Notamacropus eugenii: one gene and its partners. The protein of the gene in region 1 interacts with the protein of each later gene in a biochemical or structural test. Links are inferred from orthologs where the notes say so. Each region holds a gene or a part of one and is shown in the gene's direction. Other genes may lie near its edges. The genes, in order: E3 ubiquitin-protein ligase NEDD4-like, MLANA, PTEN and WBP2.

The links.
Region 2: the proteins of E3 ubiquitin-protein ligase NEDD4-like (region 1) and MLANA form a complex in vitro, tested with the Homo sapiens proteins (2 studies listed by BioGRID and IntAct, with this or other methods). The link is inferred for Notamacropus eugenii from reciprocal best matches to the Homo sapiens genes NEDD4 and MLANA.
Region 3: of the proteins of E3 ubiquitin-protein ligase NEDD4-like (region 1) and PTEN, one has a biochemical effect on the other in vitro, tested with the Homo sapiens proteins (7 studies listed by BioGRID, with this or other methods). The link is inferred for Notamacropus eugenii from reciprocal best matches to the Homo sapiens genes NEDD4 and PTEN.
Region 4: of the proteins of E3 ubiquitin-protein ligase NEDD4-like (region 1) and WBP2, one has a biochemical effect on the other in vitro, tested with the Homo sapiens proteins (6 studies listed by BioGRID, with this or other methods). The link is inferred for Notamacropus eugenii from reciprocal best matches to the Homo sapiens genes NEDD4 and WBP2.

The regions. Positions count from the first base shown.
Region 1 is NC_092872.1:140,798,172-140,805,765, forward strand, and holds the start of E3 ubiquitin-protein ligase NEDD4-like, read left to right. Parts: upstream 1-4,592; 5' UTR 4,593-4,878; coding exon 4,879-4,923; intron 4,924-7,594. UniProt on the Homo sapiens protein: E3 ubiquitin-protein ligase which accepts ubiquitin from an E2 ubiquitin-conjugating enzyme in the form of a thioester and then directly transfers the ubiquitin to targeted substrates. Specifically ubiquitinates 'Lys-63' in target proteins.
Region 2 is NC_092872.1:38,760,460-38,768,279, reverse strand, and holds the start of MLANA (melanoma antigen recognized by T-cells 1), read left to right. Parts: upstream 1-4,818; 5' UTR 4,819-4,917; intron 4,918-6,968; 5' UTR 6,969-6,987; coding exon 6,988-7,064; intron 7,065-7,820. UniProt on the Homo sapiens protein: Involved in melanosome biogenesis by ensuring the stability of GPR143. Plays a vital role in the expression, stability, trafficking, and processing of melanocyte protein PMEL, which is critical to the formation of stage II melanosomes.
Region 3 is NC_092872.1:279,320,278-279,327,626, forward strand, and holds the start of PTEN (phosphatidylinositol 3,4,5-trisphosphate 3-phosphatase and dual-specificity protein phosphatase PTEN), read left to right. Parts: upstream 1-4,381; 5' UTR 4,382-4,449; coding exon 4,450-4,528; intron 4,529-7,349. UniProt on the Homo sapiens protein: Dual-specificity protein phosphatase, dephosphorylating tyrosine-, serine- and threonine-phosphorylated proteins.
Region 4 is NC_092873.1:342,036,136-342,043,647, reverse strand, and holds the start of WBP2 (WW domain-binding protein 2), read left to right. Parts: upstream 1-4,497; 5' UTR 4,498-4,679; coding exon 4,680-4,735; intron 4,736-7,195; coding exon 7,196-7,304; intron 7,305-7,512. UniProt on the Homo sapiens protein: Acts as a transcriptional coactivator of estrogen and progesterone receptors (ESR1 and PGR) upon hormone activation. In presence of estrogen, binds to ESR1-responsive promoters. Synergizes with YAP1 to enhance PGR activity.

The DNA.
Region 1 (7,594 bases):
CATTTAGGAAGTGTCTGAAGCTACACTTGAACTCAAGAAGATGAATCTTCCTCACTCTAGGCCCAGCACTCTTATCTACTGCACTGCTTAGCTTCCCCTTACAAAACTTCCCTCCACTGTCATTAGTCATCTGGCTTCTCACACAAGACAGTCCATTTCCAGACTGTGCCTTTGCAGTGACTGCCCACCTTCCTGCAATGCACGTCTCCTCCTCTACTTCACAGATTCCCTCTCTTCCTTCAAGACTCACCATAAGCCCAACCTTCTGCGTAGACATCTTTCCTCAGCTCCACTTTCCCCCTACTAGTAGTCTCCTTCCTAAAATATCTTGTATTTAACTACTTTATGTTTATCTGTATCTTTTATGTACTTATCTGTGTACCTGTTGTTTCCCCCACTTATATTTGTAGAGCACAATACCTGGTATATAATTGGTGCTTAATAAATCTTGTTGATTAATCATCCGTCCCCCTCTGTCATCCTCAATCTCTCCTTTCCCCCCATGATCTTCAAACATTAGGCAGCTAAGATAAAAAAAATAATTATAAAATGCTTAGCACAGTGCCTGGCACATAGTAGGATTACATAAATGCTATCTATTATTATCAGCAGCTAGGTGGTGCAGTGGAGCACAGGACTTGTAGTTAGGAAATCTGAATTCCAATTCAGTCTCCTACGTTCACTAGCTGTGCTGCGCAATTCACTTAACCTTTATTTCTCTCAGTTTCCTCAGCTACAAAATGCGAATAATATTAGCACTGATCTGTCAAGGTTGTTGTGAGGATAAAGAGAGATGATGCTTGTAAGACACCTTGTATTGTACCCATCCCAGGTGTCTTCATTCTTTAGACCTGCCAGCTCCCCTAAGCTCCATTCTATACACCTTCTCCCTTTCATAAACAAATTCATAAAAACCAAAATCTACACTTGCAGTTTTTACTTCACCTCCCCACTCTCTTCTCAACCCCTTGCAACCAGTTTTCAGACACCACATCTCAACGGAAAGGGATCTCTCTGAGGTTATCAGTGACCCACCTCTAGTGGCTAACTCTTGGGAGCCACTTCCTCATTCCTCTTCCTTTGTGACCCCTCAGCATCTTTTGACATCACTTACCATCCGCCCTCCTTCTAAATGTTTGTTCCTCCTCTGAGGTCCTTAACTCTTAGCTTTTCTCCCTGTTTGCTTCTCAGTCCCTTTTGTGGAATATTCATCTGTGTAGAGACCCTTAAATGTACCTATGCCCCCAATGCATTGTCCTGGTTCTGTAGCACCCTCTTGGTTTCAATTATTGTCTCAACAGCTGTATCCCAAATCAGCCCCCATCTTTCTTCTAATTGTAGTCTCCCGTCACAAACTACACTTCAAGGGATTAGGTAAGCACCCCAACTTGCAAAATCTTCCCACTTAATTTTAATTCTTTTCCAAATTTTCCAATTTTTGTTGAGCGTACCACTGACGACTTCAGACTCGCAAGTTCAACTCTCCTTCACTTTCTGTATTATAATTAATCTATAGCATGTCCCTTTCTCTCCACTCACATACACACCATCCTCGTTCAAGACCCTTATCAGTTATACCCTGGATTATTTCTTGTGTGTCAGTTATTTCAGTCATGGCCCCATTTGGAGTTTTCTTGGCAAAGATACTGGAATCGTTTGCTATTTTCTTCTCCAGCTTATTTTATAGATGAGGAAACGGAGGCAAACAGGGTTACGTGATTTGACCAGGGTTACAGAGTTAGAGGGTGGATATCTCTATTCAATCAAAGCATTTCAACAAGGTGCAATAAGAAATCTGTTTACATAGGTTTAACAATGTGGTCGTGCCCTGTGGGACTTATACACCAGAAGGCTAGTTTGGAGTCAGGCATTTGAGGATATAAAAGCTATGGGTAAAGTACTTTAAAAAAAAAATCACTTGCTGAGGTACAGATGGGGAAGAAGAAAACGATGGGGTTTCCCAGCCTCAGCTGATGAACTATAGCCTTTGAAAGCCACCAGCCACCCAGCCCCTCAGGGTTCTCTAGGGCCATTAGGGGAGATGGAGAAGCCTTGCTCTCAGGACCTAGCTTTCCAGCAAGAGTAGGGGTTGGCTGAGTAACTCTCAAGCAGGGGTTCTCAATCTTTTTTTCTGTTATGTACCACTTTAGCAGTCTGATGAAGATCCCTTCTCAGAATTTTTAGATGTGTAAAATAAAATACATAAGATACAAAGGAAATCAGAGGTTAAAAAAATAAAGATTCATTATTCCCCCCATCCAAGTTTACAAAATCTCCTGAAATCTATAAGGGTTTATGGAGCCCAGGTTAAGAACCACTGTTCTAAAGTGTATTTATGCCAACTCACAGTTAAAATCCCATACATCTTTTCATGTATGCTTGCCCTAGTCAAGAGCACCCATTCTCAGGCCCTGTCTCTTTGCTAGTCTGCTGTGCCCTCAGGTCCTTCTGGCCTGCCTGGCCTAGGCAGGGTTCTCCAAAACATTGGGCCCAAGGTAATTTCCCTAATTTGATGTACTCTGAAGGTGGCCTCACTGGTAAATTATTCTGATTTCAAGACTAGAAAGAAGCAGGAATAGTAAATGGGTAGGTGATATGACCATTCTCTAGCCTACTGACTTTTTAAAAAGCTTAACTGTAATTTGATCACTAAATGAATGCAAAAGCATTTATTAAGTGCTTAACTGTAGTAGTGTCAAGCTCTGTACTAAGTGCTGGGGATACAAATAAAAAAACACCGAAGTCCTGCAGCAGCTGTGGCCTTCTCACCCTGAACTTTTCTCTCCCATTCCCTCCATTTGGAAGAAAGGCCCAAGCCAGTCATCCTTTCTTGGAGGAATTCCTAAGATTTTCTGACCTCACTAGGTACTACCCCAACACCTTTCAGTCCCCTTTCATGTGTCTCTTCTCCCTTTAGAAAGTAAGCTCCTAGAAGGTGGTGACTATTTTTTGTTTGCGTTTCTATTCCCAGCACTTAGCACAATTCACAGACCACAGTAAGCACTTAATAAACGCTTGTAGAATATGACTAATGTGAAAATGTGTTTAATAAGAATGTATGTGTAGAACCCATATAAGATTGCACACTGTGTTGGGGAGGGGGGGAAAAGGAAGGGGGAAAAAAATTTAAAACTTATGGAGGTGATTGTTGAAAACTGAAAACAAATAAATTTTTTTTTAAAAAAGAAGAAAAAAATGCTTGTAGACTTGACCTAAAAGATTTTACATTCTAATGGTGGAAACGATGTACATAGTGGAGTGGTGGCGGCTGGACACTTTAATCTTAGAAAGTGTTCTTAGCGAGTGTGACCGGAGCAGAGTAGACAGACAAGTTCTCTGAACGATCACCAGTTTATGGTTCCAGAAATGGAACAGGGATGAGGAATGGGTGGCTCATGGAACATGGAGGTGAGAGATGGAGTTTTATCTTTCGATGTGTCGTTTTCCTCCACTTGTTAAATTCGAAGGTGGGATCACAGAACTACCATTTGTTAATTTGTCCAGACACGATAGGAGGTGGACCAAAGAGCTGACTTTTCCCCTTTGTGCCCTAGATATCTGGATCACCGCTTGTGTCGGGTAAAGCCTGGGGAAGGATCCGACGTTAAAGTGCAACATTGTGTATAATATACATAATTAACATATAAACACATGAAACGAGATAAAATAATATATAATTATATAATTCAAAATAATTATTTTGAAAATAATAAAAATATGGCATTGTTCTCTCCACCCTTGACTCAAAAGGATATAACTGGGAACCTTTTAGAAGTGTTTCTTTACAAACCACCAGAGGCTCAGAAATGGAAGTGAATTCAACGAGGAAAAACTGGTGTTAATCTGGGAGAGGGAGGTCACATGACCCACGACAGTTGGGAAGCCTGAGTTTAAATCCCAACTCCGTGGTACCCCAGGGCGCTCCGTAGTGGGGGGATAACAGGCTACTACAGAAGCCATGACCGGAACTGGGATGAGATCCGGGCAGGGGCGCGGGCTGGCGAAGCTGGGCTAAGGCCGGGGGCGCCCCCCAGCCCCCCGGGACACCCCCGCCCCCTTAGGGACCCCCCACCCCCCCGCGGCACCCCCTCCTCCCGGAACACCCCCCAGCTCCCTGAGGGACCCCCCACCCCACCGCGGTACCCCCTCCTCCCGGAACACCCCCCCGCTCCCTGAGGGACCCCCCACCCCACCGCGGCACCCCCTCCTCCCGGAACACCCCCCCGCTCCCTGAGGGACCCCCCACCCCACCGCGGCACCCCCTCCTCCCGGTACACCCCCCCGCTCCCTGAGGGACCCCCCACCCCACCGCGGCACCCCTCTCCTCTTGGGGCATTCCCCCGTCCCCGGGGCGCCCGCTACCCCTCCGTGACACCCCTGCCCCCCGGGACACCCCCGTCCCCCGCGGCTGCCCGGCCCGACAGTCTGCGCGAGGCAGAGCACCGGAGCGTCCGGCTCCGCCCCCAGCCCTGGACTGGCCGCCCCGAGGCCCGCAGCCGAGCCCCGTCATCCTGTACTTTGGGCGCTCTCGGGGGGCGGAGGTTCCAGCGGTTCCCACGCCCGCCCCGGCGAGTCGCACCCAGCCCTTCCGCAGACTTGGCTCCGCCCGGGCTTCGGGCCGGGGAAGGAAGCGCGCAGACCTCACCCCGCTCCCCTTACTCCCTCCCCGAGGCCCGAGGCCCCAGGCCCCAGGCCGCCCCGCTTCAGGCAGAAGGGGCCCCTTCTTCTTCTCCCCCGCGGCAGGGGGCGCTGCTGCAGCCTCTCCGCCCCCCGCCCCCCTTCTCGCTCCTCCTCCTCCCCTCTCCTACCTCCCTTCCCTTTCCCGCTACGATTCCGGGCCAGGGGTGAGGGAGTCGAGCTCTTCGGCCCCGCAGGGACATGGCAACTTCTCCGGCGGAGGTGTTCGGCCTTCTGGAGGATGAGGTAAGGAGACCCGCTGGTCCCTGTCATCCCCCGCCCCATCCCCCACCCGAGGGAGCTCGAGGCCGGGCTGGGACATCTCTCACCTCCCGGCCCCGGACTCGCAGGCTCGGCCGGGTGGGGAAGGGCGGGACCCGCGGAGAGCCGGCTCGTGAGAGTTAGAGAGGGCTGCTGGGGACCGAGCCCCCCCAGCCTAATCTGCACCCCCTTTCTAGCCGTGCAGAGTGGGGCCCGGGCGAGGGCCCGGGCAGTTCTCCCGCGTGCCGGCGGGGGCGGGGGAACCTGAGCCGGAGATCCGGGGATGTCTCGCGCCTCACCTGGAGCATCCCGGGCCGCAGCGGGCCCGGCCCGAGCCGGGAGACCTGGCCTGGGCGGGCTCGGCGCCCGGGCGCGGCCCCCGGCTCCTCGTGCTTTGTTTTCTTTACCCCGTTTGGGGCTCGGGCTTGGCCGAAGAGAGAATTTACTAACCAGAGCCAGTATAGAAAGCGTTCGGCCCCTCCTTTTTTTACTTAACTGAGATTAAACTGAACTGAAACTTGCTTCCTGACATGACGCTTCAGTGAAGCCCTGGTGGGTGACAGCTCCAGCAGATCTCTCTCCTCGGCCCCTCCGCGGTTTGGTCCGGCCTGCGTGGAGCCCGGGCTCCCGTTGGAAGTTCCCGCTGCGGTGATGCGGTTCCGTGAAGGCCAGTTAGGTTTCACTCCCCTTCCCAGAGCCAATGGAAACAATCTGCAACATTGTATACTCCCAAGGTGTGCCCCCTCGGCGGCGTCCGCGCGTTAGCAACTATGTAAACACAGCTGCAACATGTACGGGGCTGGTGGCTGAGGAGATCAGATCTCTTTCGGTAACGTTCTAATAGAGAACATATTTTGTATGCTTCTCAGCTGTTTATTGATATAATCTCTCCTATCTTCCCTTATGTAGATCCTTTATAAAACAATTTTTATGAGCATACTGGCTGGAGAATAAGCCTTGGAATCAAGAAAAACTGAGGTCAAGTGCTCTTTCTGACACTTATTGGGCAAATCACTTGAAGTATCCTAAGCAACTCTCTAAGGCCAGAAATTGGAGGGAAGGTACACACCTGCCTTGGCAGGAGTTTGTAATTGGAAGTTCCTTAGACCCATAAATCATAGATCCAGTCCCTATCCTTAGTAATATTGGTTTGGTGAGTCCTGATAATAAAGAACAGTGCCTTTCATTCCTTTTAAATATAATTTGATTAAAGGAGAATTACTTATTGGGAATGATTGAAGGCAAAAGGAGAAAGGGATGGCAGAGAATAAGATGGATAGAAGGTGACAAACATGAGCTTGGACAGATACCAGGACATAGTGAAGGATTGGCTGTGATCCATGGGGTCACAAAGAGTCGACACCACTGAACAACAATATTTTATTTCATCTGCTGGTTATGTATATATGCTGATAGAAGATAATTTCTGATGGAAATATATTCACTGTTATTCCTGTATGTACTAAACGGTTATGTATGTATGGTAAGTGCTAGATAATTGCTACATTAATTTTTGGCTAATATTTCAACAAGAAGAGAAAAACACTATGCCCTTCTGGCTCTAAAAAGTATTAGAAAGACTGTCTTGCTGCTAGTTCTATAGGACGGATACTTGCCTTAGGCATTTCTTAGGTAGACCTACACTGGTCTAGGCAGGCTTGGGACTCTCTGGGTTCTTCAGAGCCATATTCTGATGGTATGAATTTTTTACTCATTCTCCTTCTCTTACTATGTTCTAGATCTCTAGATTGGAAATCTCAGAAACAGAATAAGTCCTTGGCAAAATGTCTGAAAAACTTAACTCCCCTTTTCTAGTACTTCTTTTGTGCTGATTTGGTATCTCATTAGTGATATCTGCTTTTTTCTAGTTAGTTGCTTCCTCCCTCCAGCAATTAAAAAACCCCAAACTTGGAATATCTGGCCCTGTTCCAGGTGTCTGCCTCTGCATGCCTCCGTGGGTTAGCCAAGGCTAATTTAGTTTGCTCCCCATGCCTTTTACACCTCTCTAGCAGAGTTGGGCAGGGTAACCCATGGTCTCAGGCAATCATCAGTCAAGACCAGAAGTCTCAATTCTTGAATTTAAGACTGCAGACTCCACAACACATTTCATGTAATAGACAACCACCTGCATGTAGAGTTCACCCCAGTGGATAAACTGGAGGTCTGGCCTTTGCCCTGCCAAGATTCCAAATGCCTCTATTTGCTTTATGTCCCTTAATTACTGTATCCCAGGGAAAGAGAGAGATCTGACTGTGAACTTCCTCCTCTTTCCATTGTGCTGAGAGGAGTAAGAGATTAAGATTGAGGAAGGGGCTGCTTGCTTTTCTCTCTTTACCTAGTGATGGCAGTACCAGAACCAGTCTTTTCTCCAGTGTTGTAGACAACTTACAGGAAGCCATGGTGACTCTTTGTTTTAGTAGTACCAACACTTCAGCCTCCTCTTGTGTGATTGTCTTAAAATGGCTTTGAAGATTGCTTTTCTTTTCTTTTTTAAGAAAAAAGGACTTCTTATTCAATGTGATTTAAAAAAATTATTTCAGTTTGAAATGCTGATGAAGGGGTTGTACTTGTCTAGTTGAACTCTAAGGAGTGATGGGGTAGGAGGGACTGATCTGTAAAGGGAAAGAAGGGCTGCAGCTGACCCTTGACCCTAGTA
Region 2 (7,820 bases), about 100 Mb from region 1:
ATATAATGCTTGTGGATGGTTTTAGGATGCTTATTATTTTATGGAAAGTTCCATTTATTCCTATGCTCTCCAGTGTTTTCAATTGGAATGGATATTGTATTTTGTCAAAAGCTTTTTCTGTGTCAAGGGAACTAATGAAAAGAAATGCTAGGGAAAGTGGCCTAGCCCTAACAAATCTCAAATTGTATTATAAAGCAGCAATCATCAAAACCACTTGGTACTGGCTAAGAAACAGAGGAGTAGACCAGTGGAATAGGTTAGATACTCAAGCCATAGTAGTTAATGAATATAGCAATCTACTGTTTGATAAACCCAAGGACTCCAGCTTCTGGGATAAGAACTCACTGTCTGACAAAAATTGCTGGGAAAACTGGCTAACAGTGTGGTGGAAACTGGGCATAGACCAATGCCTGACACCGTACACAAGAATAAAGTCCAAATGGATACATGATCTAGGAATAAAGATTGATACTATAAATAAATTAGGGGAGCAAGGAATAGTGTATTTGTCAGATTTGTGAAGAATGAAGAAATTTTGACCAAACAAGAGATAAAGAACATTATGAAGTGCAAAGTGGATAATTTTGATTACATTAAATTGAACAGTTTTTGCATAAACAAACCCAATGCACCCAAGATTAGGAGAGAAGCATAAAACTGGGAAAGAACTTTTGCAACTAGTATCTCTGATAAAACCTTCATTTCTAAAATAGAGAACTGAGTCAAATGTACAAGAATATGTCATTCCCCAATTGATAAATGGTAAAAGAATATGAACAGGCAGTTTTCAGAGGAAGAAACTAAAGTTATCTATAGTCATATGAAAAAATGCTCAAAATCACTATTGATTAGAGAGATGCAAATCAAAACAACTCTGAGGTACCACATCACAGCTATAAGATTGGCTAACATGACAAAATAGGAAGATGATAAATGTTGGAGAAGATGTGGGAGAACTGGAACATTAATTCATTATTGGTGGATCTGTGAGCTGATCCCACCATTCTGGAGAGCAATTTGGAACCATAGTTCGTAGTTCATAGGCTACAAAAATGTGCATACCCTTTGACCCAGCAATATTGCTTCTAGGACTGTATCCCCAAGAGATCATAGAAATGGGGAACCATCCCACATGCACAAAAATATTTATAGCAGCTCTCTTTGTGGTGGCCAAAAACTGGAAATCAAGGGGATGCCCATCAATTGGGGAATGGCTGAACAAGCTGTGGTATATGAATGTAATGTAATACTACTGTGCTATAAGAAATGATGAACAGGAAGACTCCAGAGAGGCCTGGAAAGACTTATATGAACTGATACTGAGAGAAAGGAGTAGAATCAGGAGAACCTTGTACACAGCAACAACCACAGTGTGCACAAAGAATTTTTCTAGTAGACTTAGTACTTCATTGCAATGCAAGGACTTAAAAAATTCCCAATGGACTCTTGAGGCAAAATGCCTTTCATAGCCACAGAAAGAACTGTGGAATTGGATTGCAGATTGAAGCAGACCATTTTTTTTATTATGTTTTGTTTTGATTTGTTTTATGGTTTCTCCCATTCATTTTAATTCTTCTATGCAATATGCCTAAGGTGAAAATGTATTTAATAGGGGACATATGTGTAGAACCTATGTAAGATTTTACATTGTCTCAAGGAGGGAGTGGGGAGGGAAGAGGGAAGGAGGAGGAGGGAGGAGAAAAATCTGAGATATATGGAAGTGATTGTAGAACCCTGAAAACAAATAAAATAATGTAATAAAAAGGAAAGATTTTTTTTGGAGATGTTACTTGGGTTGGACTTCAAAAAATGAATTGGAATTTGACAAATAAAGATGGGGAAAGGAAGACATTCTAGGCTTGGAGAATACCCAAAGCAAAAACACACATATGGGAGAACATAGGGCATGTTCAGAGAAAAAGAGAGTAGCTTAGTTTTGTATCTTGAGGGGAAAATTCTGAGTTATGTCAGAAAGGTGGAATTGTATCCAACTGTGGAAGGCTTTGAATATAAGGGAAAGATTTTGGATTTTTCTTAGCAAACTGTAAAGATCCACTAATGATTTTTGAGAAGAATGATTTGACCAAATGTATACAATAAAGATAACTCCCACAGTGTTTGGAAAAAGATTGGACTGTAGGGACAGTGAAGATGGAAGAGGACATGGTGAAAAGCTGAAACTCCTAATCTGAGTCAGCTGTCTTTGAAAATGCATACTGGGGAATAGCAGGCACCAGCAGTAGAGTGTGTGCAGAGCAGCATAAATCCACCTTGGTCTTTCCAGTCTTATGATGCATTACTCTACTTCTCCAACGCTATTAAAAAGACATCTCAAAGCAGATGGGCTAGGTGGTCTTCCCACACATTAAGACTTGGCACAGAGCACATGAATTCTCTTTCCTAGCCAATGAGGACATGGACCTTCAAACTGATTTCAACTAGTTATGCGTCCAGCATGATGTTGCCAGCCATTAAAGAGAAACATTGGGCACTAAATATTTGTCCCTCTAGGAGCAGGGACTTCAAAGCCTGGTTTTGGATATAAGATATGTACACATTAAACAATTTAGAAGGAGTAATAGAGAGCAGAGAAATAAGAGAGACAGAGGGAGAGAGAAGAAAGGACACTGAACTAGGAGCCTGGTGGTAGTCCAGGTTTGGCAACTAACCAGCTGTGTGTGGCCATGGACAACTTCAGTTTCCTTCTCTGTAAAATGGAGGGGTTAGATTAGATTATCTCTAAGGTCCCTCTCAGTCCTTAAACTCTATGATCCAGAAGTGAGGGGGAAGGGAATAGAATAAACATTTATATAATGTTTATTATGGACCAGGCATTGTGCTAAGCACTTTACAATATTACCTTATTTGATCCTCTCATCAACTCTGGGAGGAAACTGAGGCAAGCAGAGATGAAATTCCTTGCTCACAGTTACATAACTAGCAAATGTTGGAGGATGGATTTGAATTTAGGTCTTCCTGACTCCAGGCCCAGCACTCTATCCATTGCACCACCTAACTGCCATAAATTTTCTGAGACTCAGTTTCTCTATCTATAAAATGAAGGGGTTGGACTAGATCATCTTTAAGGTCCCTTCAAACACTTACAGTGTATGAATCAGCCCTTTTCTAGTGGAGACATAATTCCCTTGTACTTCTAACATATGCCACAGATTCATAGTATTATAATGTGTGTGTGTGTGTGTGTGTGTGTGTGTGTGTGTGTGGTGGGGGATGGGTCAGTCTAGAAAATTACCCAATCCTATTTAAAATAAATGATACAACACTGTACCCTGATATCTGATAAGAATGTATATTGATTGAATGAGTCAATCACAGAGATGAGCCAGGGATGATAGAAAGCCTGTTCAGATTGGTCAAGGGCTCAGGTAATGTCCTATAGGGCTTATACTAAAACTTGAAGCTTGTTTGGAATTGAAATTTCAAGCATCTGGTGGTGGACAAGAGAGAGAGAGAGACACCCTTGATAAGGAATAGCTTAGAGGGGAAGAGAATATCTTGGATTTATTCACCTCCAATTCTTCTTGACCAGAAGAAGACCTAATGAAATTTGGAGGACCAGAAGATTTGGTTTTTCCCATTGGACTCCTTAGTAGCATCCCTAGGTCATCTGAGGCTGGTGGTGGAATCTACATCAGGAACTAAGGATAGATTGAATTGTTTTTTTGTCCTTCATTTCTGTCATCAGGAGGGTGATATCTTGACTTGAAAGTGAATTGGATTTAAGAGAGGCAGGGTCATGCGAAGTCATCACCCTCACTTTCTCCTCCAGAGTCATCACAGTCCAGCCGCAAGACATAAGTCAGGCCCCCAAATTGAATATAATGACTATAGTATAGTATAGGACTCCAGCAAAAGTACTTCCAGGTACTGCCCCTTTACCTCATGTGTTCTCCAGGTGTGAGCCCTGGTTCTCCTAGACTCTGTATGTACTTGTGAGCGAATGTGTCACAGACTTTAGGGAAAAATGTTTTGTGCCAACTGCTCTACTATATTGTCTTAGTAAATAACCCTTTCTAAAAGCTAATTAAGTCTGGTTGATTGGTTGATATAAACGCTAATGGAGGGGAAGAAAGGGGGGCAGGGAAGAATACTGGGACAGTGTGGAGGAGGGATCTGGTGAGCTAAAAGTCCTGTTCCAACCACTCAGGATTAACCTTAGAACCCAGAGTGGTAAATATAGCAGCTATGCTGGAGGGACCTCGTAAGCCAGTTCAAGTGTGGATTTATAGTTCCATAACTTGTGCTACAATAGGATCATAGATGTCAAGCTGAAAGATGTCAAAATTAGATGTCAAGCTTAGAAATCATTGGGTGTAATGACCCTGTTTTTCTGATGGGAAAACTGAGGTCCAGAAAGGTTAAGTGATTTGCACACAGTTGCATGGTTGAGGTAAAATTTGAACTCAATTCTTGATTCCTTGTCCAATGCCCCACTCTACCACCTTATTCAGACTCTGACTCATTCCAGAAATAGACTAGGCTAATGTATTTTTTATCCTCTTTTATTATGAAGATGAAAAGTCAGAGGCCAGTGTTTCAACTGAGTTTTCCTATCATTGGGAATTAGAGAACCATCCAAGTTCTCTGGAATCTAGAGGGCATCTTTATTCTAGGAGTCATAGGATAACGACAAACAAATGAATGGGGTGGAATTAATCTGGTGTAGAAAATAAGAAGCAAGTGCTTACATGTCAAGGCATGGAATAAGGTTGGGAGAAGACCCTTTCTGTTTTCTCCTTTCATGCCAATTAAATAAATTCCATAGGCTGCAGCCTCAGGAATCCCAACCCGTGACCATCATGGGAATAAAACTCAGAAAGAAAAAGATTAAGAAAAAGAGGGCTGATAATCACATGTCTCACCAGCTACAGAGCAGAAGGCAGATCTGCAAGGAAGGTAAGTGCTCTACTTAGCCAGGATTTTCTCCCTTTAATTTTGATACTTGCTTTGGGAAGCCCTGCGTGGGATCCGCGGACCGTTCACCTTTTTTCACACAGGCTTTGAACTTCAGTACAATTTCTCTCCTGAGTTTGTTTTTTAGAAAAATGTGGACATTGAAAATAATTCTCATTAGGTACACAACTATGGAAGTGTCTCTTTTTCCTCCTAAGCTTTTTCTTCCTTGTTTCTACTTGAAAAGGAGATCAGAGAACTGAAAGAATTATTTCAGTACCTTCTTGAAACTTAGATACTTTGCCCAATTTGACCCTTTGTTGTGCTGCCCACCCCCACATGCTCCAGTTACTTAAATAATATTGAACAATATAATTAAAATATAAACATTAATCAGAGAATATTTAAAAGTTCTTTGAAAAACCTGAAAGTGGACCGTAACCAAGTGTCAAGGACAGGGCACTCTCCTCTCTGCTAAACTGTCCCTTCCTAGTGGTACCTCTCCTTTCCTTAAACCTTAATCACATGTACAGAATTATTAGAGTATTGTTATTATTAACATTACTATTATTAAATTTTAGTTGCTCATTATTACAAGCTATGCTGCTTACTTCCTAACTGGTCTCAGGCAAAGAGACCTCCGTGGGTTCTTATCTCCTCTGTAGGGGCTTAGACCAGATGATCTCTAAAGTCCTGCACAGGTAGTTTTAAGAGCTTTTCCCAGTGTGAGCATGCCCTCCCCAGGAGCACAGCGCAAGGCCTTTTGAATTCTCATCTTGTATGATGGCTGTCTATGACCTTCCATAAAATTCCCCATGGCACACAACTCTTATTTAAGGTTAAAATCTTCTAAACTTTCAGTTTTATTAGGATCTGAGCATAAGATATGGGTTTACGAGTACAAATTAATTTAATAGTAATTGATTTGGGATTATACCATTTGGAAAAATGATACAAAGGACCTATCACTACATTATTCATCTGAGATATGGGAATTTGGCTGTCACTTTTTGGGGGTGGCGGGGAGACTAAGATAGTTAATAACCTTCATATACTCCATAGAATTGATCATTTATACAGTTAAGCTTCTTCCTTTTCTAGTCCCTTAGTTTCCTATTTAGTGGCCAATAATAAACTTCTCCGTGGGGGCTGGATAATAGAAAATCACTACAACTGTCAAAAGGGAAGGTAAGTAAATGCTGTAGGGGAAAAAAATTTCCTCCTGCCATTCTGCTTTGATTTTGGGTTTTAAAGAAGACCGTTAAAGGTATAGCCCCTTAAAGTAGCAAGAGAGCCCACTTATGGATCTGACTCATCTTATCAGCTAGGTCAAACAGCGGATAAAAGCATTGTACCAGCAGGCAGCAAGAATTGTGTCTGAATTCAGCCAGAGACACTTACTAAGTGACCCTAAGCAAATCATTTAACCTTTCTCGGTCTCAGTTTTTTCATCTCTAAAATAATGATAATAATAGCACCTACCTCCCAAAGTTGTTCTGAGGACTAGCTAAGATAATATTCAAAGTGCTATGTAAGTGTTAGCTATTATTATTTTTAATAAAAATTTCTCTCCATTATTATTTTTCAATAATTAAAAAACCTGTCCTCTCTTCTGCTCACCTTACCTCTCTTCTCCTCTCTTCTCTTTTCCCTTTCTTCCCCTACCTTTTTCTTTTGTTTACAGAATGTTTCCTCACAATACTCCTGTGAGGCTCGGTACAAATTCCCCCTCCTCATTTTCTTTTATTTTTAAAAGTTGACACATTTTGTTTTGCTACAAAAGAATCTTTCCAACAGTCACCCAAGCAAACCCTGCTAAAAGTATATTTTTCAAAAACACAGTTAAGCAAAACCCTTTAATCAAATATCATCCACCTGGTACAGATAAAGAAATGTAGACTCAGAGAGGTTAAGAGATCTGCCAAGAACTGTGCAGCATCTAAATGTTGAGGTCACCACTTGAACGAAGGTTTTCTGATACTAAGACCATAGGGATTGCCTCTTGAGTTAGCTCTGGTTTCAATGAATGATCTCAGTGTCATCCTTCCCATTAGGTAACTCTGCCTTCACAAGATGCCAAAAGAAAATGCTCACTTTATACATGCCTACCTCAAGAAAAAGAAGTCTCCTTCTCACATTACCGCAGAAGAGTAAGTCTAAAACCCAACTCAGACTTCCAACTCGTAGTTTGTGGATGGGGGCTTATCCATCCCAGAATGTGTCTGCCTGTCCGTAAATGTGCTTTGTGCCTATTCCCACAGAATGTGTGACACAAGGGGAAGAAACTTTCTGCTTAATTGAGTTAGGCAGACAGTCAGGCTCAGGATTGTTTGAGACCAGGGGCTATCATCTAGGGTGAAAAAAGGGGGACTTTGCATTTTTGTCTGAATTCTGTTTTATTGGAACCGAATCCAAAGCTCCCAACCCAGATACAGTGCATGCTCTGAAAATAATTCTGCTTGGTCTCATGTATTTAGGATTTTGGTGGTGGTTGGGAGACAGAAGGTGAGTGGTGTAGTACAATGGAAAGAGCCTGGAATTGGAGTCAAGAGTCCTGGCTCTGCCACGTATCACCTGTATGACCTTGGGTAAATCATTCAACCTCTTTCTGCCTTAATTTCCTTTAGAAAATGAAGGAATCTCTTCTAACACTACATACCATGATTCACACAAACCCATAAGTTCCAAGAATAGACTTATTTGGTGATGGAATGGGGCAATGGTGAGGGTAAGAAATGGTGCCCATGAGAAGGAATGGGCAGATAGACTTTCCTTAGATGGATGTTGTTGGACATGGATTGGAGCTAATGTATTAATTCAGGATGAATAAAACAACAAGGTGAATAATCATCCAATGAACAATAAGGGAAGAGCTTCTCATGATAAGGAGAAACATCTGGGGTGGG
Region 3 (7,349 bases), about 140 Mb from region 1:
AGTTAGACAGGTCCTGCTCATTTTACAAACTAGGATGATCCTTCAGGGTCATTCAGAAGAAAACACTTTGTAAATGTGTGCTCTTAGAGTTACTTTATGATTTCTAAGCTGGATTGAATAATTTGCTTTATTTGCTGACAGTTGGGGGAGGGGTGGACTCTAGCAACAGAACAAGGAATAATGATGAATGTTTTGATGGTGCCTTAACTAGTGTGATTCCACTTGTCATCTTGGTGATGAATTTCCTGGACCAAAGTACACTTCTCAGACCACAACTCCCCAGGATGTGTTGCCTTCTCTTTGTAGAATATAAGCTCCTCGAGGGCAGTTTTTCTTACCCCAGGGCTTTGCACAGGGCTAGGCACATATGAAGTTCTACAAAATGTTAGCTATTATTATTGGGGCACCTAGGTGATGAAGTGGACAGAGCACAGGCCCTGGAGGCAGGAAGACCTGAGTTTAAATTTGCCCTCCGACACTTACTAGCTGTGTGACCCTGGGCAAGTCACTTTGCCCTGTTTGCCTCTGCTTCCTCCTCTGCAAGATGAGCTGGAGAAGAAAACAGCAAACCATTCTAGCATCTTTGCCAAGAAAACCTTAAATGGAGTCATAGAGAGTCAGACGTACCTGACCAGAACAATCGTTATTGTGGTTGCTGGCGCAAAGAAAAGTTTAATGTTTCTGTTTATCAATATTTTGTTCAGGTTTGCCATGTGCTTTCCAGATCTGACTTGGGTCTGGCTCCCAGGGTGGGTGCCTCAGTTTTTCCCTACAGAGGGCTTCCACTTCTAGGAGAGTAGCCGTGTCCTGGAAGGTAGTGCTTTGCCTAGACCCCGGGGGTGCCTGTAGCTATCCGGTGACTGGTTCCTAATTGTTATTTTGATCGGCCACGTAGCCTTAACTAGGACATCTTCACCAAGGCCTCATGTGCCTCGGCTGGCAGTCTTAGGCCATTTTTCCGGCAGCTGTGCTGCTGGGGACTCTCCGGACTCCTCTGCTGACGGCCTCTGGTGCCAGGGAGGCCTGGGGTCCCCTCCTCCCCGGCCCAGGCTGCACGCTCTACCCCAAATACACTGGGACTTTCCTTGCCTGCCTCCGAGGAAGGAGCAGGGAGAACACGTTATCGAGTCCCAGTGGGCCGAAGAGTTAGCTAGGCACGGGCTCGGTGGCATCATTACTATGTAGATACTAAGCTGGGCCCACGCTCCGGGGAAAGAGGAGAGTGGGACCCTGAAGCCCGGGATATGGACATGGGTGGGGCGTGCCACCTGCAGCGGGGACTGCAAGCCCAGAGAATGAGAGCAAACCCCCTAGAGTCCGGGCAGCCAGAGCCGTCCTGGCCTCGGGAGGACCAGCCAGGACAAATTTCACAGACACAACCTCTTTCCCGCCCCGCCCCCAGCCCCCAAGGTCCCGGGCCCGATCCGGCCCGGCCCGGGTCCGCCTTTCCCGGGCCCCTTGGGAAGCTCGAAGCTGGACAGCGGTGGCTGCGGTCCGGGGCAGTGACAGCCGGAAGGCAGCCCAGCCGGAGGACAGGCAGCGGGATCTGGGGCCTAGGCTAGAGCCTCAGTTTCCTCATCGGCACAAAGGACTGGCTCGGCTCCCCAAATCGGGCCTGCTAGTCCTCAACTTGGAGGGAAGGAGCCAGCGCGAATCATTTATTAGACCCCTTCAGTGTGCAAGGCTGTGGCCTGAGACAAAAGGGTCTCTTCCTCCCAGGTTAACGCACCGCCCCTTTCCTGGGTCGCCGCCCCCACCCCCGAGGAGTTCAGCCAATGTTCAGGTCCGAAGAAGTAAGCGGCCCAGAACACCGCCCCCAAGCAGGGGGAGGGGGAGCCTGGACATCCGCCCCCCCACGTGATACTGCCCCGAAAGTAGTTCGGCTAGATCGGCGTATTCTTCCACCTCCCCCCGCCCCCTCTTAGGTCCCGAGTCAGCCCACTGGAGAGGCACGCCCTCCCGCAAACCATGCGCACTGTAGCCCACCGGCCCCGAGAGCTGGCGGTGATCCCCAGCAAAATCCGAACCGGGTCTTCCTAGCCGCCTGGGAGGCGGGGACTAGCCACGATCCTGGGGACCGAGCGTGGTGGAAAGGGAGGCAGGGGCCATGTCCCAACCTCCTGCCACAGACCTTTCTCCAAGTGGGGGCATCCTTGGGGAGAATGGGGGGATTTTATTATTATAGTGGGGATCCTTTCTTGGGGACAGCTCCTTTATCGGGGGGCGCCCGGGGGAGCAGGGGGAGACACAACAGACGGAGACACCACGGGAGGCTGACACGCTGAGGAGTGGGAATTCCGGGCAGGTCCTCTCCCGGCTCGGGAAAGGGGGCGGGGGTTTGGGGCTGGCACATCTCCCTCCCATCCCTAGGCGGTGGGGGAGGGGCAGAGGAAGAAAAAACATAGAAAGTGAAGCTGGGAGAGGGGGAAAGGCGGCCTCAGCCGCACCCCTCCCCCTTCTAGCATTCCGGGCGGGGGTCTGCCCGTTGGAGGGGGATGGCAGCAGCCTCCCCCCACGTGATGGCTAGGAACGGAGCAAAGCACCTCGGATAAAGCAGAGGCGCCAGCGGACGTTCGCCCTCCCGGAGGTTGGTCCCGCCCGTGCTGGGCTGGGGGCCCCCCGCCCCCACCTGGGAGCAGCCGAGCCCGCCCCGGAGCCGGCCTCGGCACTGGGCATGCGCGGCATCTCGGTCAGCCCGGCGCGCCTGACACCTGACGGCCCGTGCTCACCCAGGCCCCCTCCCCCCGGCACCTTTCACTTCTCCTCCCCCCTCCCCCAACCCCGCCCCCGCCGAGCTCCCTTCCCTCCCCACCCCCACACTTTCTCCCATCACTTCCATCGAGTCTCCTTCCCCTCAGTCTCCTCCTCCGCCCCCATCACTTCTTCCTCTCGTCCCCCATTACGTCTCCCTTCCTCCACACGAAGACCCCTCCCCCCAGATTCTCCTGGTCCCAGCTCTCCCCGGTATGAGTTCTCCGCCCTCCCCACGAGTCTCCGTCTCTCGGTTTCGCTCTCTCTCCCCCTCCTTTTCCCGTGGCAGGCGGTGATGTGGCGGGACTCTTTGTGCGCAGCGGCAGGATACGACGTGCCGTCGATGTGTCCGTGCCGTGTAGGAGGAGCGAGGAAGGGGAAGGGCGGGGCTCTGCGCCGCGCTGCTTCTTGGTTCGCGACCACAGGCTCGGCCCGGTCTGGCTAGCTGCGGGGGGCGGGGCCCCGAAGCGGGGGCGGGGCGCCTGCATCTCGGGGCGGAGCGGGGCACAGACGCTTGAGGGCGGGGCCTTGGCCTGCGGGGCCGACCTTGGGGGGGCGGTACCCGGGCGGGGGCGGGGCTAGGGGAGGGACTGAACAGAGCGCAGGCGCTCGGGGGCCGGGACGGAGGGTGGGGCGGGGCTGAGTCGGAGACGCGGGGGCGTGTCGTGTCGTGGAGCGGAGCCGGGCGCAGGCGCATCGGTAAGGGGGCGGGTCTGGGGGGGCGGGCCTCCGCCTCGGTCGGGGAGGCGGGGAGAGGGGGGGGCGGCCTGGTCCCGGCGCAGGGCGGCGCAAGGCGCAGGCGCAGGCGTGCGGAGCCGGCCGTGGCTCCCTCCCGGGCGCGAGCTGCCTGGTATCTCCCGTCGGAAGCTGCGGCCGCCGCGGCCATGATGGCAGCTGAGTGAGCTCCGCGCCCGCCGCTGCAAGCCGCCCTGCGAGGCCTGGCCAGGCCCGGCGAGGCGACGCGAGGCGGGACGAGGCGGGACGAGGCGGAACGAGGCGGGGCGAGGCGAGGCGAAGCGAGGCGCGGCGCGGCGCGGCGAGGCGAGGCGGGGCGCGGCGAGGCGAGGCGGCCCCGGCGGCGATGCGAGACGGCGGCGGCCGCGGCCCCGAGCCCCGCTCCGCGCCCCCGGCCCCGGCCCCGGCCTAGGCCGGCGCTCCCGCCGCGGGGCCCCGAGCGGCGGCAGCCCCGGCCCCCCCCTCCTCCACCACGGCGGCGGCGGCCCCGGCGGCGCCCCCCCCCGGGCCTCGGGCCGCCGCGCCGGAGCCGCGCCTCGGCCTCGTTCTCCTTGTCGCCGTCGTTCTAGTCCGCCGCCGGGGCCGCGGCCGCCGGGCCCCCCGTCCCTGGGGCAGCCTCCTGCAGCGTGGGCCGCGCCGCCTGATTGCCCGCCCGGGCCTGCCGCGGCTGCGGGCCCGGCCCCGGCCGCGCCGCGGGCCCCCGCGGGGCCCCGAGGAGCCGCACCCGCCGCGCCCGCGTCCGCCGCCGGGCCAGCCGGGGCAGCCTCCGGGGCCGCCGCCGGGCCCGCCGCCGCGCCTGCCGCACCCGCAGCACCAGCTCCCGCGGGCCCAGGCCCAGGCCCAGGCGCCGGCTCGCGCCGCGGGCAGAGGCCCAGGCCGGGCGCCCGGCTGCTGAGCAGGCCCCGCCGCCCGTGCCGCCGCCTCCGTCCGCCCGCTCCCTCCCTCCCCCCGCGGCCCCCAGACATGACAGCCATCATCAAGGAGATCGTGAGCAGAAACAAAAGGAGATACCAAGAGGATGGATTCGACTTGGACTTGACCTGTATCCTCCGCGTCGGAGCCCCCTCCCCTCCCCCTCCCAGAGCATCCCAATCCTGCTCCCCCTCCGGCCCCCCCCCCGTCCCCCAGGGACCAGCTTCTGGGGCTCAGACCCAGGGTCAAGGCCAGGGGCCTCCCCCAGCCCCCTCCGGGGCTATTGTCCCTCGGTTGGTGCGGAGGGGAGCATATTAGCGAGCTCCGATCCGGGCCCCCCTGGGGTCGCACCTGGGAACTGGGAACAGAGCAGCAGGGAGCCCGCCGGCCTGGGGTAGGCCCTACCTAGACCGAGGGTCTGGAGAGGAGGTCGGGACTAAGGCTCGCCTGGACGGGATTGCATCAGAATCTTGCAGGGATTCTTTCTGGGCCCTGGGTCGCCTCGATAGATGCCCTAAACTGTGAGTCGAGGGGCTCTTTGCAGGGTCCCAGGTGCTCAGCCGCGGTCCCAGGAGGTGAAGGGGAGATGCCCCCCCCACGCCCCAAGAACCAAGTTAATGACCATTTGGAGCCGAATTTGGTAGTTTTGTTAAGATTTAGACGTTTAGCGCTATAATCGACCCTCTAAGGCCTATGCTTATCTGAGGTCTTTGTTAAATGTGGTGGGGTTTTTTTTTGGTTTTTTTTTTTTGCTCCTGGTAGGCCGATATGTCGGTAAGACATGAAATGAACTGTTCAGCAGCGTTTTATGTGCTGTGTTTATATGCTGTGGAATGGACATTGAGTAGTTTTGATCCCTAGTGATAATGTCAAGGCGATCTGTGGGCATTTTGTGTCTCGAGTGGTTATTGCAAAGGTTAAATTTAATGTTGGTTGGAAGTTTTAAGTTTTATTGTGAGGCCAGGTTGATAATCGGCGATATTTATTTTTCGGGTCCTCCTGGCGTCTTAGTGGTCTTGATAATTTTGATTTACACTTTTAGTGAGATGGAAAAATGTGGTCTGTATTTTTACTAGTTAACATGTCCTGGAAGAGCTGGTAAGATGTCACTGTACCTATTTTGAATCGAGTGAGTTACATTGTAGATTAATTGTTAAGGCTTTTAAATGTTTAAGTTTACCGAGGCAGTTATTGACAAAGAGAAACCTAGAATTTTGGCCGAGACTTTGCTCTGGAGGGATTAAGGTTAGACCCTTGCATTCAAAAGAGGGAGGCCTTCAAAGCCCTTTACTGTCATCCCTGTAGTTTGGGTTTTAATCTAACCTGAGAATTAAATTCATTTTCCTAATTTGCAAACTCATGAAAGGTACACTTTTTTACCCAAACAATTCATTGCCTGTTGGTATGCATGTACGGAGAAATGTAATTTAAAGTAATTAGGTTTTTGGTGTTCAGGTGACTGGAGCGTTTTGGACATAGGGTGGTGTAAATGCAATAGTAAACCATACGGATAGAGTTGAACAGATATGGAACATGAGATGGATTTTAAAAAAATCAAAAATCATTACTTTGTTTTGACAGTGCCTTCTGTGGAAGTGACTGCCTCTTGCTGGTACCTTTCCATAGGAAAGTTCTAAGTCTTGACTATAGGGCCTTGTACATTTAAGCATACATATCTGTCCTCAAAAACACTTCAGTAATAATAGTCAGTGATTCAATGGACAGAGTGACATTTAAACTACTCTTTTTACCTGAAATGTTTGGAGGAGAATATGATAACAGAATTTAATGTCGAAAGAATTTGGTTCCCTTTCATATTTATTACATTTATACTTTTGCCACCTTCTACTGTTTTATTAAAATTTTATGTTAATTTTTATGCCAACTGAATGTAAGCATACATGTGTTTTCTTAAAAGTAGACACGTTTTGTTAGAGGAATTTACTAAACATAGCTGAAAACAAAACATATTCCTGTTAAATTCTTAACATGGTATTTTTAGAGTAACTTTGGAAATTGAAGAGACTGCATCGATTGAATGTAATAGATACATTTAAACTGGACAGCACTGCCGAGGACGTCACTCATTGCAGATTTTGTTTTATGATTTGTTTTTACCAGCAGTTCATTTTTGGGGTCAAATTATAATAGTGGTTGTCTGAGAACTAGGAAGAAAACCTTTTCCTAATTAAGTGCTTTTAGTGGGCTTTTTGGGTCATGTTAAAAATGGCTGAAATGATGTCCACTTTCAAATTATGAAGTCTGCAAAATTTAAACTTGATTTAATTAATTATGACTCTCTGAATGAGTATCTAAATTATGTCATTATAGTCATTTTGCAAGTCTTTTACCAGGTTCTTATCTGAGCAGCAAAATGCTATTCTTAGGGGGATGGGATATAATTTTCCTATGGTCAGCTACTTTTGGCATGTGTGCATAAAATTTATGCAACTTAAAAACAATCACTAGAGCAAAAGATCATTGAAAGCTTCTCTTCCTAACAATTTTTGATGCATCAAAAAATGTGCTTGATTTAACTGTCAGTCAATCAACAAGCATTTATGAGGGCCACCCTGTATGTGGTATGGGGTTTTAAAGATGCAAGTGAAGCAGATTCTGCCCTGCAGGAGCTTATCTCCTTAGCAGACAAAAGTCTGCACTTGACCAGCTCCATTTCTGGTTATTGTGGGAAAACATTCTAGTAAGAAGTAAGGAAGACATTATCACTCTCTGGTCAACTGTAGTGTCTTTAAAAAAAAAAAAAGTGTCCTCAAGTTGAATCTGTGAAAAGTAGAAAAATCTTATTTCCTGAAAAAAATAAAGTAAAACTGTATTTTCAGTTGAAAAGCATTTATGTTCTTTGTCTTCCAACTCTCCCTCCATGGGGGAGAAAAAAGGAAAACAAAACCCTTGTAACAAAGTATGCGTAATCAAACAAGACATTCCATATT
Region 4 (7,512 bases), on another chromosome or scaffold:
AGAATCCTGGAAGGGTGGAGTGTGATGGCAAGCAAAGTGGGATCTTTTGCTGTTTTTGTTCTAGTATAAAGTGCCTCTGACTGAATAGTGTGATTAAAGAAGATCTTCCCCAGTCCTTATGGGCTTGGGAAGCTTTGTAGGAAGGCCCACACCTTTTATTAATGAGGCACTAGTTCTCAAGGGTTGTGATGCCCTCTGGCTCTAAAAAGGGTATAAATACTTTGAGGATTAGATTTTACTTTGGGGTTTACTGACTGGAAGTGTTTGTTTGGTCAGAGGAGACTCTGGGCCGCCACTAAGGAGCCCCCTGGCTTTGAAAACCCAGATGTTGGTGCTTCCCTCTCTGGTAACTATGGTCAGACAGTAGGATATATCTGTTGATTTGTGATATATGTATTGGTTATGGTCAGATAGCTGGAAACCATGTCTGTTGATCTTTGATTTCTCTGTATTTTCTCTGAAGTTCAGGGTGCTGATTTTTTTCCCTGAACTAGGGGAATGATATATGTGCTTGATTAAAGGAGATTGTTAACCTCTCAAAAGTTGCCTTTCCTTTTAGAAATGCAGATTAAAGAACCTGTGATAGCAGGCCCACCTGTGTATGTCAGGGTGCTTAGTTACTCCCTGATAGATACTGATAATGTTTAATATAAAATTTTGGAATAATCTCTTTGTTCTCTCTGAAGCAAACTCAGAGAATGCCTCTTCCTATGTCAACAAAAGCCTGCCAGGGCTGACTTAACATTCCTTAAGAGACCTTTAACCTAAGACACTATCTTGAATAATGGGACGTTTTCCATATCTTAACATTTGTAGACATATCCTATGTTATGGCATGTTAATGGTAAAGAAAACACAGACATCTTGGGTGGTAATTTCTATGTGAAACTTTGTCAAACTCTGTTATCTTATTGTATTTACAACCTATGCAATTAAGAAATTCCTTTCTAATGTCTAGTTAGTCACTTATGGAGATCATAAATCTGAAGGACACAGAACACTTCTTTGTCCTAAAACATATTTAAGCCTGCCCAATTCTTTGTATCAGTAGCCAGAACATTTCTGGCTCCATAATGCATTATGTTACCATTTTCTTTAATAGGGAATTGATCAATTAATTAATTAAATCATAAAATGTATGCATTTAGCCTGTTGCCTTTTCTTTAACCAAGTTTTCAGGTCAACAAGTGTTTCCTAAGCTTTGCTAGGCTTTTCATATCCCCAAAGCCAGCTTTTTTTAGTAACAACCTTGCAGACATATAAGTGGTAGTGTTGAGGTCAGGGAAACATTTGTTGAGGTTTAGAGTGCTTGGGACCCCAAAATACTGACAACCCGGGCCCTGCCTGAATGAATTCAGCCCAAGCCTTCTTTCAACCAAAGTAAAACAAAGTTTATTAAAGATTCACCATATTGGGTTGACTCTTAAGCCTCACCATTTGTAAGGCTTGTATTGATGGTAGGCCAGATAGAACCTCAGCAAGACTGGATCAGAGCCAGATTGAATCTGAGCACCTTTATGGAGGTAAGAGGGATCTTATATACAGAAAGACTGTGGGAGGAATTCTGGGGGTGGTCTAGTAGTCAGGGGTGATGAAAGGAGGGGTAGGGAGGGTCTTGATGGAAGGGGGGCGGTAACTGATCAAGTATGGGAAGCAGCCAGTAGCAATCTGGAGGCAACAGACAATGGAGGGCCAGGCTAGGTTAAGGGTAACAGATTTGGGTATGAAAAGCCCCATTAAGTGGGAAGATTCAAGAAGAGTTCAAGGAGGTTCCCAGAGTCTGTACCCCATCAGAAGAGAGTTCCTGTGAAGATTTTTAGGACTTTGCTACCAGGGGGTGGAATGTAATAGGAATAATATTTTTACATAGGGTTGGTGTGTTTTCTCTTTAAAGAGGCAAGATCAAGATCTGGCTGGTCTGGGCGGCTAGAGGCATAAGAAGTCTAGCCTACATATACTTAATATTCCTGAGGTTTCGTGGAATTCCCATTGCTTTCATCCAGCATTATCCTGGAGAATGAAGATGCAGAGGAGAGCAGCATCTAATTTTAGCAAATTGTATACTTTTAATTTTATTGTATTTAAATCTGTTTTTGTTGCATTATAAGGAACACAATATGGCATTTCAGTCGCAAGCTTGAATTACTCAGTGGACTGAACTAAGCTAGGGCTGACCCAAAAGAAATGACATTTATTTAAAACACTGTCCTTCGATGTTTATGTATAAAGGTTATATCTAAGTGGTTGTGGACAACCAATCAGTCTGTAATGATGCTCTGGTTCCACTATATTTTATCTGTGGACCTCTCAAAGATATTTTAGGATTTGGTAGCTGGGACATTTGTTCCCAGTTAGTTTTAAAAGATAATGAGTTTCTGGTATGTAATTCTAGCCATCTCTCATGTCTTTCTGGCTAACCAGAAAGTGAATGAAAAAAATCCATGAATAAAAAAGGATTTATTAAGCATTCACTGTGTGTAAGGCATTGTGTCAAATGCTGAAGATACAAGTTCAGTCAAACCAGACAATTCCTGCCCTCAAGGATCTGCTATAAGAATTTTCAAGCAGAACCAGGAGAACTTTGTGCACAGCAACGACCACAGTGTGCGAGAGTTTTTTCTGGTAGACTTGGAATTTAGTAATAACGCAAGAACTTCTTAAAAAAAAAAAATCCCAATGGTGGTTTTCTAAGGCAAAATGCCTTCCACACTCAGAGAAAGAAATATGGAAGTTATTCGCAGAATGTAGCAGATCATGTTTGTGTGTGTGTATGTTTTTGTGAATCATGTTTTGATTTGTTATATGATTTCTTCCATTTATTTTAGTCCGACTACACAGCATGACTATAGTGAAAATGTACTCAATAGGAAAGTATATGTAGAACCTATACAGAATTGTATGCAGTCGTGGGGAGGGAGGGGGGTAGTGGGGGGGGATAAAATCTCAATTGTGTGGCAGTGATTGTTAAATATTAAAAAAAAAAGAAAGAAAAAAAATTTTCAGTCAGCTACACTGCAGTCTATTTATCCATTCAACGTGACATAGTCTGTCAGCAGGTGATGGGCATGTGCTTCTCACAATTCCACAGATGACATACATACATTAGACGTGTGTGTGTGAGTTTGTGTAACTTCCTGACCCATGGACAGTTTTGGAAGACATCAGGTAGGGCTTACAGAGAGGAAATGGTATGGAAAGGATGCTTAAACGGTTACAAGGCCTTTCCAGCACAGCCATTTAACAGCATCTTCTTCATCACTCAGTGAATTAACATTTGTTAAGCTCCTACCACCAGGTCTCATACATTAGCTGGGACAAAGGGAAGTGGGTGAGCTCCTGGAAAACTATTCAAAATCCTCTGAATTTTCTTTGGCAACTGAAAAGTGATGGGAAGGAAGGACTTACTGAGGGTGTGCATTCAGCGTCACGCAGAAAAGATTTTAAAATACATAGCAAATAGAACATCAAATGAAGCCACTCACCTTCTCCCAAAACATCCACTTTTGGCAAAGCTTATAGGAAGACATAGGAAATAATGTCAAATAGAGTAATATTTAAGGTGATTCGGGGGCAGGCCTGTGGCACCTCCAGATCCTCGGAAAAAGCCTCCCATGCAGGGACCTAGGCAGGCAGAGGGCTCCTGCGGGGAGATGCCACGCTGGAAGCCACCTCGGGGGTCGCCGAGCCCCTCACGCGGCCGAAGAGGAAGCTGAGGCCCCGAGAGGCAGGCTGGGAGGCCTCGGCCCAGGCCTAAGCAGGAGGAGGTCCGGGGACGCTTCACCAGCCAGCGATCGATGGGCCCAGATTGAACCTCAACGCTGGCTGGGCTAGGCCTGGACGCCAGGACGAGGATTCCTAACCTGGGACCGGTAAACTTGGTCTGAAGATGATTTTGATCATCTCCTTTGTAATCTTACCTATGGTATGCACTGAAGGTCACTCTTCCGAGGAGTCCACACACAAAAACTTAGAGAACTCGACCTACCCCCCCGCCCCCAAATCCTGCGCAGGACGCAAAGTCCCCAGGGTGGTGCGTGACATACACTTTCTGACTTGTTCCATGTATTGATTTTGCTTGTTTTATTTGGGGGGGAGGGCGTCTCATTGTTTTTTCTTTAAAAATGTTGTTCACCGGGTGCCTGAGGGGAGGGAGGGGGAGAACCAAAGGTTGAAATTCTGGTGAGGTAAAAAGCAATTTAAAAAAAACCTAGCTCTAGAAGAAACAAGGAATTACTTGAGATTTTTGGGCACGGGGAAGACCCAGATTGGAAATCAATATTCCCAGTTCTTCTATACATCTTTCCAAACTAGGAACTCTAAGTCCTTCGCCATTTGGGTGCTCCGGAAGTTCAACAGCTCCTACAGTCTAGGGCGAGGCCAGAACATTGCATGCCGGGAACTGTAGTCTTCGGACTTGTTTGTGATGAAACTGCTACAAAAGAGCAAGTGTAAGAGGTAGAGGAAAGCGATAGAAGGCGGAAGAAGGGGGGAGGGGGAGGAAAACGACAGGCGAACGCGTTCACGTGACTCGAGGGTCAGGTGGTTGTTCCTCTCCTGCCCGCATACGCACCCTGTGATTGGCTGGAACTGAATTCCGAACGACGACACGCGGGGCTGGGCACGGAGCGCAGGCGCACTGTTCTCCGAGGTCTGGAGCGGGGCGTCTGTGCGGCCCGGCCATGGCGCTCAACAGGAACCACTCGGAGAGCGGAGTGATTGTCAACAACACGGAGAAGTGAGCGGCGCCGCGGAGGGATTCGTCGAGGCTTCTTAAAGGGCGGACAGGGAGGGGGGCGGGGAGGACGTTGGGGTGGGGGCGAGTCGTCGAGGGAGGTGGGGTCAGGGTAGTGTAACGGCCTGGGCAGAAGGAAGGAAGGAGGGGGCGGGAAATCTTAGCCCTCCCCCGTCACCTACCCCTCCTGGAACTGCCAGAGGGGCCTAGGCCTGCAGCAGCTGGGGGAGGGGAGGGAACTGAGCTTCCTGGGTGGGCGTCGTTGGGGAGGGATTGGGGACCAAGGACAGCGTCAGCTTGGGGGAGGGTAGCCGCGTAGGAGATTTGGCTGGAATGTTGGGCCTCTCCGCGCCCCATCTGGTGCTGGAATCCCCTTTACCCCCCCTCCCCCACTGCGGGCCCGGCTGGGCCAGCCTCCTCCTCCCCACCCCCGGAGCCGAGGGAGAATGACGTCGGAGCTGAGAGCGGCGCCGGGGGTCGTCCGGCCCCTCCCTCATTCTTCAGGTGGAAGATGATGAAGGCCAGAAAAGGGAACTAGACGGGAAGGAGACTCCTGATTGCTACCCGCCGTCCTACTAAAACACCCACCCACCCCCACACCCCTTTCTGCTCTAAGACTCGCAACTTCTTGCACTGCTGGGGAGAGGCAGCGAAGACTTGACTCCTGCTTTCACTATGTGGATGGAAGCTCATTAAATTTACCGAGTACTTCCTCCTATTTGGAGGAGGCTAGGGTGGTCATGCCATAAATGGTATTGCAGTCAAACCCCCCCCCCCCAAAAAAAACCCTGGTTCTGTGTTCACTATTTCTGCCCCTCTCCTTTGACTACTTCAACATAGGAAAGGATGCCACCCCTCGAGCATGTCTCGCTACCTGCTTCAGGATAGCCCTACAACGCCAAAAGGACCACTGTGCCAGTTAAGAGGAAAGAAGTACTTAGGGACCAGAACTCATGTTGAAGCAGATTGGCTCAAGTGTGAGCTTAGACTTCAAAAAGATGACCTCTTCACCTTCCCTGCATAGGACCCAACAGGCTTATCCTGTTTCTGATAATTAACCTATTTTCTCCACCTGCATTTGTTTCAAGTTCTGTTCCACCCATCCTCTTAAAAGTGGAAAGGTTTTCAGCCTGGGTCTTCTTGGTATTTCCCGTACAGGACACTAGTGTCCCCATGCTGTTGCACATTTTGCCCCCCAAGTCTGGACTTTATCTTAGAATCACTTGTTTCAATCAAAATTCAACAAAAATTTAATCTTCTGTGCAAACCTTTCCTGACTGTCCCTTCCCCCATCTGTTAGTGTTCAAAGTATCTCACTTATTTTGTAAATGGACATGCACATATAAATAGCTTGAGGGCTGTGGTTTGTTTTTTTGTCTGTATATTCCCTGCATCTAGTACTGTGCCTGGTAGATAAGTAAGAGCTTAATAAATGCATGTTTAGTGATTAATTGGTTGGAGTAGGAGGACAGACTCAACCACCAGGAATAGTTCATTTGATTTTTATCTTGTAAGTAGAGATATCCCATGATGCTCATTGGTTTGTGACCTTTTTGTGTCCAAACAGGCTCTTGGAACAAGGAAACACTGTTGCTGTCTTTCAGTATCATCTCTTGTGACTGTTTTTTATTCTTTCTCAGTGGGAGTTTCTGGGACAAGGACTACCTCTCGCTTTGCCTCCCACACTTCTAAATGCTCTGTGACTGTTAAATAAGGATATGCCTTGCTTTATATAAATTCTTTAGTTTCATTCCAGGAAATTAGTGTATAAATTGAAGTTAAGATTTGAACCTCCTTTGTTCTTTTATTATTTGAAGGAAACTTTAGTGAGTCCTTTAATCATCATTTCATAATTTATCTGTTTTACATTTTCTTTAAGTGATCATGCCTGCAACTAGACATTTCATAGAATTATAGAGTTGGAAAAAATTTCATGGATCTTCTAGTCCAGGTGTGGGGAACATTCAGTCACATGCGACCCTCTAGGCCCTCAAATGTCGTTCTTTGACTGAATCCAAACTTCAAAGAACAAATCCCCTTAATAAGAGGATTTGTTCTGTAAAACTTGGACTCAGTCAAAGGCTGCACTCAAGGACCTAGAAGATCACAGGTTCCCCACCCTTGGTCTAGTCTAATCCTTATTCATAACATGAATGTTATAATAAACACAATGAGTTGCCATCTAGCTTGCCTTTGAAGATTAGGGTGAAAGCGTTGTCTGTGGTGGCATCAGCTTTAACCTTGCAAATTGGAATTCTCCTTCCTTATCTGGCACTTATTCCAGATGGAGCTGGTAGTGGTATGTTTGAGATTCTATAGTCTACTGCTTGTTGAGGGGTGGGGGTGGGGGGGATGGATGCAGGAGGAGAAGAGGAATATAAGGAAATAACACAGCTTTTTATTCACACTTCAAGTCATATCTCTAATCTCCCTTATAATCTTCTTGCTCCCTTCCCGTTGTAGTATTCTAATGACCTACGATCATGTGGAGCTCTCCTTCAGTGACATGGATCACATGACAGATGCCTTCAAAGGAACCAAGAAAGGCAGCCTCTATTTGACTCCTTACAGAGTAAGTCTTTGGAGTCCTTACCTGTCATTTTGAGACCTGACATTTTAGAAGAGTGACTCAGGTTTCTAGCAACACTGACACAGGTCAGTGAGTTGGATGGCCCCTGAAACATTAATGACTTTTTATTTTCCCATCTCCCATGGTGTTTCTTTGTCACAGGCTCCTCCCAGGACTCTGGGAGTCTGCTGTGTCTCCAGGTAGCTGAACT